2 linked regions of the Caenorhabditis elegans genome follow. The protein of the gene in region 2 purifies or fractionates together with the protein of the main gene of each other region. This does not show direct contact. Each region holds a gene or a part of one and is shown on either strand. Other genes may lie near its edges.

The links.
Region 1: the proteins of gpd-4 (region 2) and T25B9.9 fractionate together in Caenorhabditis elegans (co-fractionation; one large-scale study listed by BioGRID). This does not show direct contact.

Annotation. Positions count from the first base shown.
Region 1 is NC_003282.8:10,766,756-10,772,652, reverse strand, and holds the start of T25B9.9 (6-phosphogluconate dehydrogenase, decarboxylating), read right to left. Parts: upstream 3,001-5,897; 5' UTR 2,993-3,000; coding exon 2,663-2,992; intron 2,540-2,662; coding exon 2,470-2,539; intron 2,436-2,469; exon of another isoform or gene 2,341-2,435; coding exon of another isoform or gene 2,229-2,340; intron 1,867-2,228; coding exon of another isoform or gene 1,757-1,866; intron 1,710-1,756; coding exon of another isoform or gene 1,464-1,709; intron 1,418-1,463; coding exon of another isoform or gene 1,305-1,417; intron 1,243-1,304; coding exon of another isoform or gene 1,120-1,242; intron 1,072-1,119; coding exon of another isoform or gene 941-1,071; intron 893-940; coding exon of another isoform or gene 674-892; intron 626-673; coding exon of another isoform or gene 571-625; intron 507-570; coding exon of another isoform or gene 363-506; intron 293-362; coding exon of another isoform or gene 289-292; exon of another isoform or gene 1-288. Other genes in the region: inpp-1 (Inositol polyphosphate-related phosphatase domain-containing protein), read left to right, coding at 363-506, 571-625, 674-892, 941-1,071, 1,120-1,242, 1,305-1,417, 1,464-1,709, 1,757-1,866 and 1 more; T25B9.8 (Lin-15A/B-like domain-containing protein), read left to right, coding at 4,494-4,517, 4,565-4,720, 4,822-5,682, 5,727-5,897. UniProt on the Caenorhabditis elegans protein: Catalyzes the oxidative decarboxylation of 6-phosphogluconate to ribulose 5-phosphate and CO(2), with concomitant reduction of NADP to NADPH.
Region 2 is NC_003280.10:10,168,437-10,174,018, reverse strand, and holds gpd-4 (Glyceraldehyde-3-phosphate dehydrogenase 4), read right to left. Parts: upstream 2,752-5,582; 5' UTR 2,740-2,751; coding exon 2,217-2,739; intron 2,165-2,216; coding exon 1,732-2,164; intron 1,684-1,731; coding exon 1,614-1,683; 3' UTR 1,521-1,613; downstream 1-1,520. Other genes in the region: WW domain-binding protein wbp-11, read right to left, coding at 1-124, 260-301, 348-511, 559-673, 722-1,094; RFX-like transcription factor daf-19, read left to right, coding at 4,698-4,765.

The DNA.
Region 1 (5,897 bases), on a different chromosome or scaffold from region 2:
CCCTTTGCACACCGAAATCTACATAACATTATATAGCACCACCAACACCAGAGTCGTCCGTTATACTTGTTCGTCATTTTATCATCGGACAAAAACGAGCGAATTGCACACGAAAAACGCGGGCTTTCTGACATACAAAAGTGCGCGCTCTTCCCTCCCGTTCCTATACTTGAAGCCTCTGATAGAGTCCGTCGCTATTGGATTTATGTTCTCTATTTTCAATATGCATTTCGAAGCTTAGTTGGTTGAAACGAAGCAATAAGCCAAGTTATTTAATTCATACAGTAAATGGGTAAGACTGAGAAACATTTGAGTTGAAATCTAGTATTCTACATTTATTTGGACGTATCAATTTCTTTTAGATGCCAACACTCCCTCTGCATCTGGAGGTGATCCAAAATCAGGAGATTCTTCAAGTGAGAAGCAATCACATCAAACTCCTACTCGACACCCTCCATGGCTCCGTTCTTCCTCTCAACCTGCCACGTGGCGTAACAGCGCCTCATGTAAGCCTCTAATCCTTCCCCGACTTAATCCTATTGTTCTGACACCCATTACACTTCATTTCAGTCAACGAGATCAGTGACGGCAATTGGACATACTGCATTGAAACGCAAAATACTGCGTAAGTGATTACTTTTTTTTCATCATTCATTGAACATATGATATTTAGCCCTGCTGTAAAAGGATTTGGGAATGTTCCAATTGTCAGTTACGACGTTATTGAAGCTATGGGTGATAGAAAACTGAAAGTATGTACCGTGACATGGAACATTAACGAAAAAGGTGTGAAAATATTGAGCCATCTCGCTCAGAAAATAGCAGAACGAGGACAAGAAATGGATAGTGATATATTTTTCATCTCATTGCAAGAAATACCTTCCACAGCACCGTTAGTTCCGAAAACTATTAATTTTCGATTAACTAAAATCAGTTTCAGAACTTTTCATGAAGAAGCATTACGAATTCTTGAGCCAGTTCTCAATGGTCATCGTCTGTACCTTTCACATAGAGCCTGGAGTCAAATGGTAATAGTCTTCATTCGACAGAAACATCTTCGATATGCAATCCGTGAGTTCAGATCTTATAATCTAGAATCTAATAGTTTAAAATTTCTAGAACCACAAGTATCATTTATCGCATCTGGTGCAATGGCAAAACCAGTTCGAACGAAAGGTGCAATCGCGGTATGTCTTCGTTTATATCAGCGATTTATAGTGCTTATCGGATGTCATTTATCACGTGAGTGGTCCCTTACATTGTTAGACTAATGATGAGAACACAAAAATGTTATATTCTTACAGATGCAACACCACAACAACGTATCCAAGACTACGCTAAAGTGGTCCGCACTCTTCGTTTTCCTCAGCTTGCCAGATTTCATGCACATGCAAAAGACGAAATTTTTGGTTCTGACGTAAGCGCCTCTGAAGGGCGACACTTCCTCCATAAATCATTTTCAGGTGGTGCTTTGGATTGGAGATTTGAATTTCCGGGTTACTGTAGAGAGCAATGTAGACTGGAGAGATCCGGAAAAGATTACAGAGAAAACATTTAGAGATGTTTTTGAAACAGAAGAGCTTGCCAGTCATAGGAAAAAGCAATTAGCATTCACAGATTTCAAGGAAGCTCCAATTAAATTCCCTCCAACACATAAATTCGAGCCAGACACAGACAATTATGTGCCAAAAAGGATTCCGTCTTTTACTGTGAGTAATTTCTGATTACAAACATTGCTAAGACTTCAATATTTTAGGACCGCGTTCTCTTTTGGGTAAGAAACTCGGAATGGCTCCAAAACATTCAGTACGATTGTATGAGAGGAACAACACCGTCGGATCATAAGGCAGTTTTTGCCACTTTTTGGTTAGCTTTTTTTAAACCTAGCAATAGAGTATGGTTAATTGGAAAATGATTAAAAACCATTAATATTGTATTTAAATTACCAAAAATAATATTAAATATATTCAAAAAATTTTGTAAAATTTTTGTATTTCGAGTCAAAAAGCGGTGCGAACTCAGTTTTCACCAATTTTTTTGGAAGTAGTGTACCAAAAAATTTATTTTGGTTTTATGTTATAATTATGTTTTAAATATTCATGTTAATTTAGCGAAGAGTTTTATTTTGATATTTGGTCATTTTAGCATCATAGGAATGGTTTTTAATCATTTTTCCAATTAACCTTACTTTTAATTGTTCACTATTTACTGGTTAATCATTTTTCTAGGCTAACTGTGATCAATAAGCCGGTTCCTGAACATTACAAGCAACAAAAGTCGCTGGAAAGAGAAATATCAATGAAAACCAACTCGGTGGATGCAAGTGGACCAGTGAACTAATATTAATCTAAAAAAGCATATTTCCAAACATTTGGTTTAATCTGGTCATTAAATCCCTGTTATTGTATTTTTAAATAAATTACCGTATACCTCAACTCTTTGCAAACAATTCAAAATACAAATTCATACCTTCTTCTCCTCCGGAAACTCCACAGCCGACGAACATGATCCCCTTTGCGGCGAGTTGCTCGGAGCGTCTCTGAAAATAATTGTTGTTTGTCAGTTCACAATCGATTCACTATATTACATATTTATTTTATTTTTAGAGAGAAAAGTCTAATGAATAAAATAAATAAATATTTAGAAAAAAACAAAAACTTACGTTTGAATCAGTGTATTCAGAATTTCCTCCATCAATGATAATATCACCTTCCTCAAGATGCGGAACAATTGCATCGATCATCATATCGACAGGAGTTCCGGCTTTAATGAGCATCATGACACGACGTGGTCTTTTCAATTTCTTGCACATTTCCTCAATTGAATGAGCTCCAATAATCTTAGTTCCTTTAGCTTCATTGGCAAGAAAATCGTCGACCAATTTGACAGTTCTGTTGAAGGCGCAAACAGTGAATCCGTGATCATTCATGTTCAGAATAAGATTTTGACCCATAACGGCCAATCCGATGACGGCAATATCAGCTTCGGCCATTTTAATTTCTGGAAAAAGCCATTGAAAATTAAAAAAAAGGATTTTAAGAGTGACGGAGAGAAGAAAAATATAGATTGCGGTTACAAAATTGATTTTTAAAAGTCTCTTATGGCGTAAATGACCAATTTATTTCAGAAAACAATTCTCATGTGTGAAATTTTGATCAAAATGGTTCAATTTCGGGAAACATCAATGAAACAATGATGATAATGTTTCGAAAAAAGTGATGCCAGAAAGGATTTTTTCATTACTCAGAATTTATAAATTTGATGTGAACGTTTTTGGATAATTCGGGGAAAGTTGTAAAAACGTGAGAGACGACTTTGATTAGTTTTTTGTGAGGAGGCGCCTCCCGCTCTTTACTTCATTTTTGGACAAACAATCAATGTCATCATCATTATTTTGTGGCCTACTCCACTCAACTTCCATCGCTTATTTATATATTGACTAGTGGAGGCGATTTGTTTTGTTTATAGGCCGTGTAATTATTATTATAACAATAATTGGGTACAGTTAGAAAAACTGAACTGGTTGACGGAAAGTGCACAGAAAAAAGAAAAACGAGGAAACCAGATAAGCAAAGAGACGGAGACAGATTTCTGCAGTGAATAAGAGATTGGGGGAAATTTGTGACTATCTTGTAGACCACACTCGGAGTTCTGTGAGATGTTATCTTTCTAGAAAATTGACCTCAATAGGTTTTCGAAAAGAAAAATTTCAAAATATTTCAAGGATAAGGATTCAAGTATTTCCTGAATTCAAAAATTGAACGCAATGATAGGAGAAAATAAGTTTCTGTTCTTTTAGAACGAGTGCCGACGAATGCCGACGAATGAACAAAAAACAAAGTGGTGTTTGGCATTGAATTACTTTTTTTTCTCCCCTGCACTCTTGTTACTTTTAGGCTACGACGCAAACAAAAAATGCCGGAGGTTTTGTCACCTTTTTTCAAAATTTTACAAGAAACGATGACAATTCGATCTTCTCGAGGTGTTTTGTTTTCGCTCAGGATTGAAAGCGTCGAATATGATGAGAAAATTGGAGGTTCAGAGAACAAATTGCATTGTAAAACGGGAATCAGAGTACATTTAATTTATGTAAACATGCGCAAGCAGGAATAAGATCCAAAGAAACACGGGAAAACTTAAAATTGAAATTGACACACTAATCTTTTAAGGTAAAAACTTTTTCTTGAGAGGTCCGCAAACTCGCTCTATTGGGCTACGGCGGTAATTCGAACTGAATTCTCTACATTAATTTTTAGTTTCTTTTTTTTTAATTTAATAAGAGCGTTCATCGTTCACTCAACGATTTTTTTTCTCCTTACGTCCTCATTCTCCTATATTCTCACAAAACACATCTCTGCCGTCGTTTCGCTGCCTACACTGCCTTTGTCTCGTTGTCTGCGTCGCTGCTGACCCTGCGTTGAGCGAGTTTCTTACCATATTGATTGTCAACTTTATTTTTTTATGCAATTAATTTACCTAAATAATAAAACTAAATGGAGAACATCAGCAATGAAGAGGTCAGTTTTAGAGTTTCCTAGGTATTTATAAAAAATCCAAATTTCAGAAACAAGCTTATCAGAAGAAAATGCTCAACGTGTTGATGATTGATTTTCTGAGAAGTACAAACATTGAATTTTCTATCGTAAATCATCCAAAATTTCGAGCAATGTTCGAGCTCATCAGACCGGATATTGTTTTGCCTACAACATCAGACTTAATTGTAAGTAATTTCAAAAATGAGCTTTTCAAATACTTACTATTTTAAAGTTATACTATAAAAATAGAGAAATATCCACACATATTCATCTAAAAGTTTTATAGAAAGTGAATGTCGACAAATACGATACATTCAAACGATGGGAGCTTATGAACCCCGATGAATACGAAAATTTAGAAAAACAACGTCACGAAATGGTTCGTCAATGGATGCAAACTGATATTCTTGAATGTCGAGAATCAAACAACGAATACATGCCGAATAGCCTTTCAAATTGTTTCCAATTGAGTCAAACTTCGGTAGGCAGGGAAAGACGATCTGATGAACAGTCGGTTTTCCCAAACGAAATGGAAGAGGAGTCATCTATGGATAATGAATTTGACGCGAACAGTGAAAATTCGAATGATATGGCACAATCGAGTCCAAATGTGAACTCACAAGATATCAAATTAGAACCAATATCAGATTACGATGATGCCCCCATTGAAACAAAACCTTCATTAGAGGATCTTCAAATGCAGGAGAATTCAAATGCAGGAAATTCAACCAGCGAGAGTCAAATTATGAATAACCCTGTAACTTCTGACAGTTTTGGAACGGGACCTTCTACTTCATTGACTAATTGCAAATCGGAATTCGAATTGTTACTGAAAAAGTATAAAATAACAAGAGTGGAAGAGGAAAAGTCACTAATTGGCTCGATAGACAACGGAAAATCATCACAAAAACGTTCGAAATCGTCCATCCAACTCACAACATTTGAACATATTCCTGGATATGTCAAATGGCCGTGTCTGGTGTGTAATCAACAAATGGAAATGACCAAGGTCCGTTCAGTCAATAATACAGATGCCTACATCATGATCTACGTTTGTGTTATGAATGATAAGTACGATATGGACAAAGCAAAAGAGTTGGCTCGAATGCAAAGATTTAAATGCTGTGTATCTCATTTAGATGAATTGGTGAGTCATTGATTTGAAAATGTGCACTAAAACTTATATTTCAGTATGAAAGCGCTCTTCATTTTTTGGGAGTCGTGGATCCAGATATTGATATTCACACGGATAACGAGAAAATTGTGCAAGCTTATCATGCAGTAAAAGGCATCAAGGATTCAAGATTTGTGCAGAAACTAGTATTCGAGGGTAGCAGGAAGCATATTGTGCCCTTCTGCAAT
Region 2 (5,582 bases):
ACAGCTTCTTCGTGATGGTTTTGGAAACCCATTGGATTGTAATGAGAACTCGCATGTGGGTGATGGTGGTGATGATGGTGCGGCATTCTGGTTGGCATTGAGTTATATGAGGATGGAGGTCCGTCTGGAAATCAAAACATAATTTTATTTGCAAAACATAATTTTTATTACATTTTTTTTAATGTGGGAATTTCTTGAAAATTTCCAGACAAAAGGGAGTAAGAATTTTAAATGTTGGAATTGGCCTATAAAAACTTACAATTTCTATGAATTGGCTGGTACGGGTTGTCGAATTCGGGAACTGAAATTTTTCAAAAATTACTTTCGTTAAGAAATTAACTCCTTACTAGGTACGGGCGCAAGATCGATGTCGTCATAGTGATCATCGTGCACTTCCTCTTCTTCTTCTTCGCTGTCACTGAAATTTGGAGCCAATCCACAAGGCGGCCCAGGAGGCTTTTGTCCAGCTACACGAACAGGTCTAGGAGGAAGTTGAAATTCCACTTTACGTCTAAAAAATAATTAAAAATTTAAATTCTCAAAACTTATTTAACATACTTTATCATAGCAGGAGCAAGTAGTTGATTATTTCTTTCAGGTCCGGCAGTAGAAACATCTCCCATTGGTAAGGGGATCATGTCCGGGTCAGCTTCGCGGGCAAGACGAGCTTGTTCTAAAATGAACGTTGTGATTTATAAAAAAAAAGAAAAATGATACTTACGAGCAAGAACAGCTAGTTTTTGACAATCTGACTGATATGCATTGATTTTGTCATTAAACTTCTTTAATTCAGCGTCTTCTTTTCCCTGTTGCAATGTCATCCGTCTTTTATTAATCGAATCTGTCAGCACTTTCTGCTTCTTTCTGAGAACATCGATATGGAACGGTTGAGGATCTAATCCAAGGATCTGCCGTTCTAATGCCAAAAGTTTGCTCGTTGTCTCATCCAGATTACAGTATTTCGCCATAGCTTGTCTTATTTGCTGCCTGTCTTTTTTGTTTCTCTTGTTTTCCTTTTTTCGATCCATTTTACGAGCTTGATCGGTAGGCGCTCGATAGCGCTCCCCGCTTTTCGTTTTACTGATGGACGGCATTTCTGAAAAAAAAACATGATTTAGGACAGCTGTTCTGGAAATAAAAAACGAATTAAATACAGATATTCGAAAAATGAGGAGCTTTAGGAAAAACATCTAGAATAAAATTTGTATCAGATAATGGATGTGAAATGGATTCATTAAAAAAAAGAAAGATGCTATTATTTTCAAATGAGTGCAAAATTAGCTTTTCTAGACGAAATGTTAATTTTAATCAGAAAAATACGTTTAATTTATTTGGGTGCAAGATCGTCAGAGGCGTCGCGGTTTAGCCCGCAACGCACCACAAAACACTATCAATAGTCCACGTTCGCACCATCAAAATGCGAAGCAACTTTAAATTTAAAGGTTAGGTCTCGAATTCCAATAGACATTCACTTTAGAAGTCATTTCAATCTTTTTCTAAAATCACGACAAAAGTACTAGATTTCACCAGAAAAATAGGTTTATTCAATGATGACTGTAATAAAAAAAATAGCTATGAAATACATGGATTATACATAAAAGATCCTGATAGAATTATCCACGGGTGGCGATGTATCCGATGAGGTCGACAACACGGTTCGAGTATCCATATTCATTGTCGTACCTGTAAAAAATAAATTTAAAATACATTTTTTAAAAATTCAGTGGTTACCAAGAGACGAGCTTGACGAAGTTCGGGTTGAGCGAAATGCATGCTCCAGTATCGAAAATGGACGAGTGAGGGTCGGACACGAAGTCAGTCGACACAACTTGATCTTCGGTGTAGGCGAGGATTCCCTTCATTGGTCCATCGGCAGCGGCCTTGACTACCTTCTTGATGTCATCCATCGAAGCTGGTTTCTCGAGGCGAACGGTCAGATCAACGACGGAAACATCTGGTGTAGGGACACGGAAAGCCATTCCAGTGAGCTTTCCGTTCAGCTCCGGAATGACTTTTCCCACAGCCTTGGCGGCTCCAGTGGAAGCTGGAATGATGTTTTGTCCAGCACCGCGTCCATCTCTCCACAGCTTTCCGGATGGTCCATCGACTGTCTTCTGGGTTGCGGTTACAGCGTGCACTGTCGTCATGAGTCCTTCGATGATACCTGAAAATAAAATAAATTAGAAAAAAACAAATTGATTTGATGATGATCATACCGAAGTTATCATTGATAACCTTCGCCAGTGGTGCCAGACAGTTGGTGGTGCACGATGCGTTAGAAATAACGTGATCATTCGAAGCGTCGTACTTCTCATGGTTTACTCCAACCACGTACATTGGAGCATCAGCAGATGGAGCAGAGATGATGACCTTCTTGGCTCCTCCTTGAAGATGGGCAGAGGCCTTTTCCTTTGTCGTGAAAACTCCAGTAGACTCGACAACGAAATCGGCTTTGACTGATCCCCATGCGATGGCAGCTGGATCCTTGCTGTTGAAGACCTTGATCTTGTGCGATGATTTGCCATCTTTCTGGACAATCAGAAAGTCTCCATCGTAGGTAACAGTTCCTTTGAATTGACCGTGGGTCGAGTCATACTTGAAAAGGTAGACCATGTAGTCGATTGTGATAAACGGATCGTTGACGGCGACCACTTGAACCGTGTCCTTTTCGACAGCCGCGCGGAGCACGAGACGTCCGATTCTTCCGAAACCGTTGATTCCGACGTTGGCTTTCGACATTTTTTTGAGTCTGTAAGAAAACTTGAATGAAATTTTGACGGAAGATTCACAAGAAGTAATAGCTTAAGAAGGAACAAATCTGAATAAAAATGGCGAAAATTCAGATTGAAGCAAAGAGAGCAAAGCAAAATCAACCGCATCGGGAAGAAAAAGAGAATAAATGATGAAAAAGAAATCTAGATTGGTGAACAACTGCAGAAAATTGAAAACTTGCCGCTCGTGCGCGTCTGCAAAGCGCAAAAATATTTTTCATATTCGTTGCGAGACCCGTGGTTTTTAAATTTGGTCATCCCTTTAAAATTGAAAATTCTGGTGGAAAAAAATCAATAATTTTTCTTCAAAAATAAAGAGAAGATCAAAAATTATTGAAAATGAATTTTTATTCCGAAAAATCGAGAATAACACTAAATTTATCAGCTTTTAAGTGTAATCTAGAAATAAAAAAGAAAAACTATGCAAAAACTGAATATAAAAATGTGAAAATAAAATATTTTCGTTTCTTTTCTGAAGAAAAAAATAAATATAATATGCATTGTTTTATATCTATGGATATAAGACAATAATTGTTGATTTTTAGCTATTTTCAACAGGAAAACCGATTTTGTGCCGCTCTCTGATAAACTTGGGTACGGTATGTCTTGAAATCGAAAATTGTAACTCATAGTTTATTACGGGAACACAAAATTCTGAGAATGCATATTATTTACGGGCTCGAATGGATTAAAATAATTTATTTATCTATAGAATACTAAAATTAAGCAAAAAATGAGAAACGAATGAAAAAAGAATGTCGCTGTTCGAAATTAAATTAATTTCATAAATCGAGCCCGTAAATCGACACAAGCGCTACAGTAGTCATTTAAAGAATTACTGTATACAGCTGTAGTTCTCGCTACGAGATATTTAAAGCGTCAAATATGTTGCACAGTACGAATTTTTAGAATTTTGTGTTCCGGTAATATGTAAACTGTATTAATCATCCAGATTAAGAATATTACAATTTATAAAGCAAAAATACAGTATCAGGTCTCGACACGACCTTGAATTTTTAAACGGTTTCTCCAAAAAAGAGTGTACATTTTTAATAAGTAACTACAATAGTTCTTAATTGTCGCGGTTCACAGCTTTCAGTAACAAACTTCCGATCGTTGCAAGACCGTATTCTTGCAACATCTTTGTAGTTTCAAACTTTTAAACATGACTTTGACAGAACATTTCAGAGTTTTTTTGGGATGTCTGATTGTTTTTAACAGGTATGTTTGAAGAAGGAAATTTAATAAAATAAGTAACCTAGGTATATTATATTATTAACTCTCAAACATGTTGAATGTTTCATGTTACTTGAAATACTTGAAATTTGAAAAAAAAACTATTGTGATACTGATACATGTTACGGTATTTATTTTTCAGATTCGCCAGTCTGTGAGGAATATGTCCTAGTTTTCAGCTTCCGTTCCTATGCAAGCGCCGAGCCACCTTCTTCCCAACCTCGGGGGCCCTTAAAGAAATACTTTTAAGAAGGAGAAGCAGGGAAGAAGTGATGTTCCATTGTTGAGAGGGGCCCTAGGCACACACACATATCTCCTTTTCGTCCCATCTCTTCACCCACAACAACACACACACAACTGAGACACACACACTCGCACCACACACACTCACACAGACAGACACTCTCTCACTCACTCACGTACACTCCCCCAGGCAACGAGGAGACACTCCCCGCTGCCGCACATATTTTATCGACGCAGCAACTTAGTTTCGTTCCCCCCTCCCTAACTCTCTCTCTAGGCCACCTTTGCTTTTCTCTAGCTGCTTTTCCGGCTTCATCTCGGCTTCTTTTACAATTTTGGTTTCCATGGAAACTACTTCCAAATTATCCAAGAGACTAAATGCAACATCGTCTGGGTCTCTCTCTGTAAATGTCTAGTTTCAGGGGTGGTGCGGCAGAGAAGAAAGTCATGACCAATGAGGAGCCGGTGCCATCGACGAGCAGTGTGCTCAGTGCAGCCGAGAAAAACGTGAAGATGTGAGTAGTCTATCTGCAAAAATCGGCTGAAAGTCTGTACGACCACCTGTGCGAGAAAAACCCCATATCTTATCATATCAAATTCTCCCATCCCATCACTTTTTTCCCATTATTTCCATTTTCGAGAAAGAGATGAATGACCTTCACACGGTGTCGTCGTTGGGTGGCCATAGGAACATTGAATTGGAGAAAAAAAAGATACAGCAAAAAAAAGTGTGACATGACAAGAAAAAAACTGTTTAAGAAAAAAAAGAAGAAAATTAAGTAAATGAGGAAGGAAGTAGGAAAAATACTTTATTTATCAAAATAAATGTATAATATTTCAAAAAAAAAATCACCGAAACTTACAGTTTTGAAAAATGCGTTTCGTAGAACAACTACTATAGTGCTTAAATGTTCAAAAATTATAGCAAAACTTTTGGTTTTTTTTATTTACAGTCAAAAAAGTGGTGAAAACTTTGTCATAATTTTGAAAATCGACCAAAAAAATCAAAATTTCTACGAGTTTTATATTTTAATTAGAACGTTCTAGAAATTTGAACCGGCATCAATTTCACAATTTCGGAACATTTGGCAATTTACTAACTTCGGAAGGTTTTCAGATTTTTCAAAATTCAAAAAAAAAATCGAAATTTTTGTAGTGTTTAATTAGGATATTTGGCTTTTTTTCTACAAATGTATTTCTTTAGGACATAATTCAGTTTATGCTTAGGCAAGAAGGCTCTAGGTGTATGTGCCTGCCTATCGAAATGTACTGCAATTTTGCGTGAACTCCGGTATTTTCATGTTTTTGATAATGTAGATTTTAATCCGAACT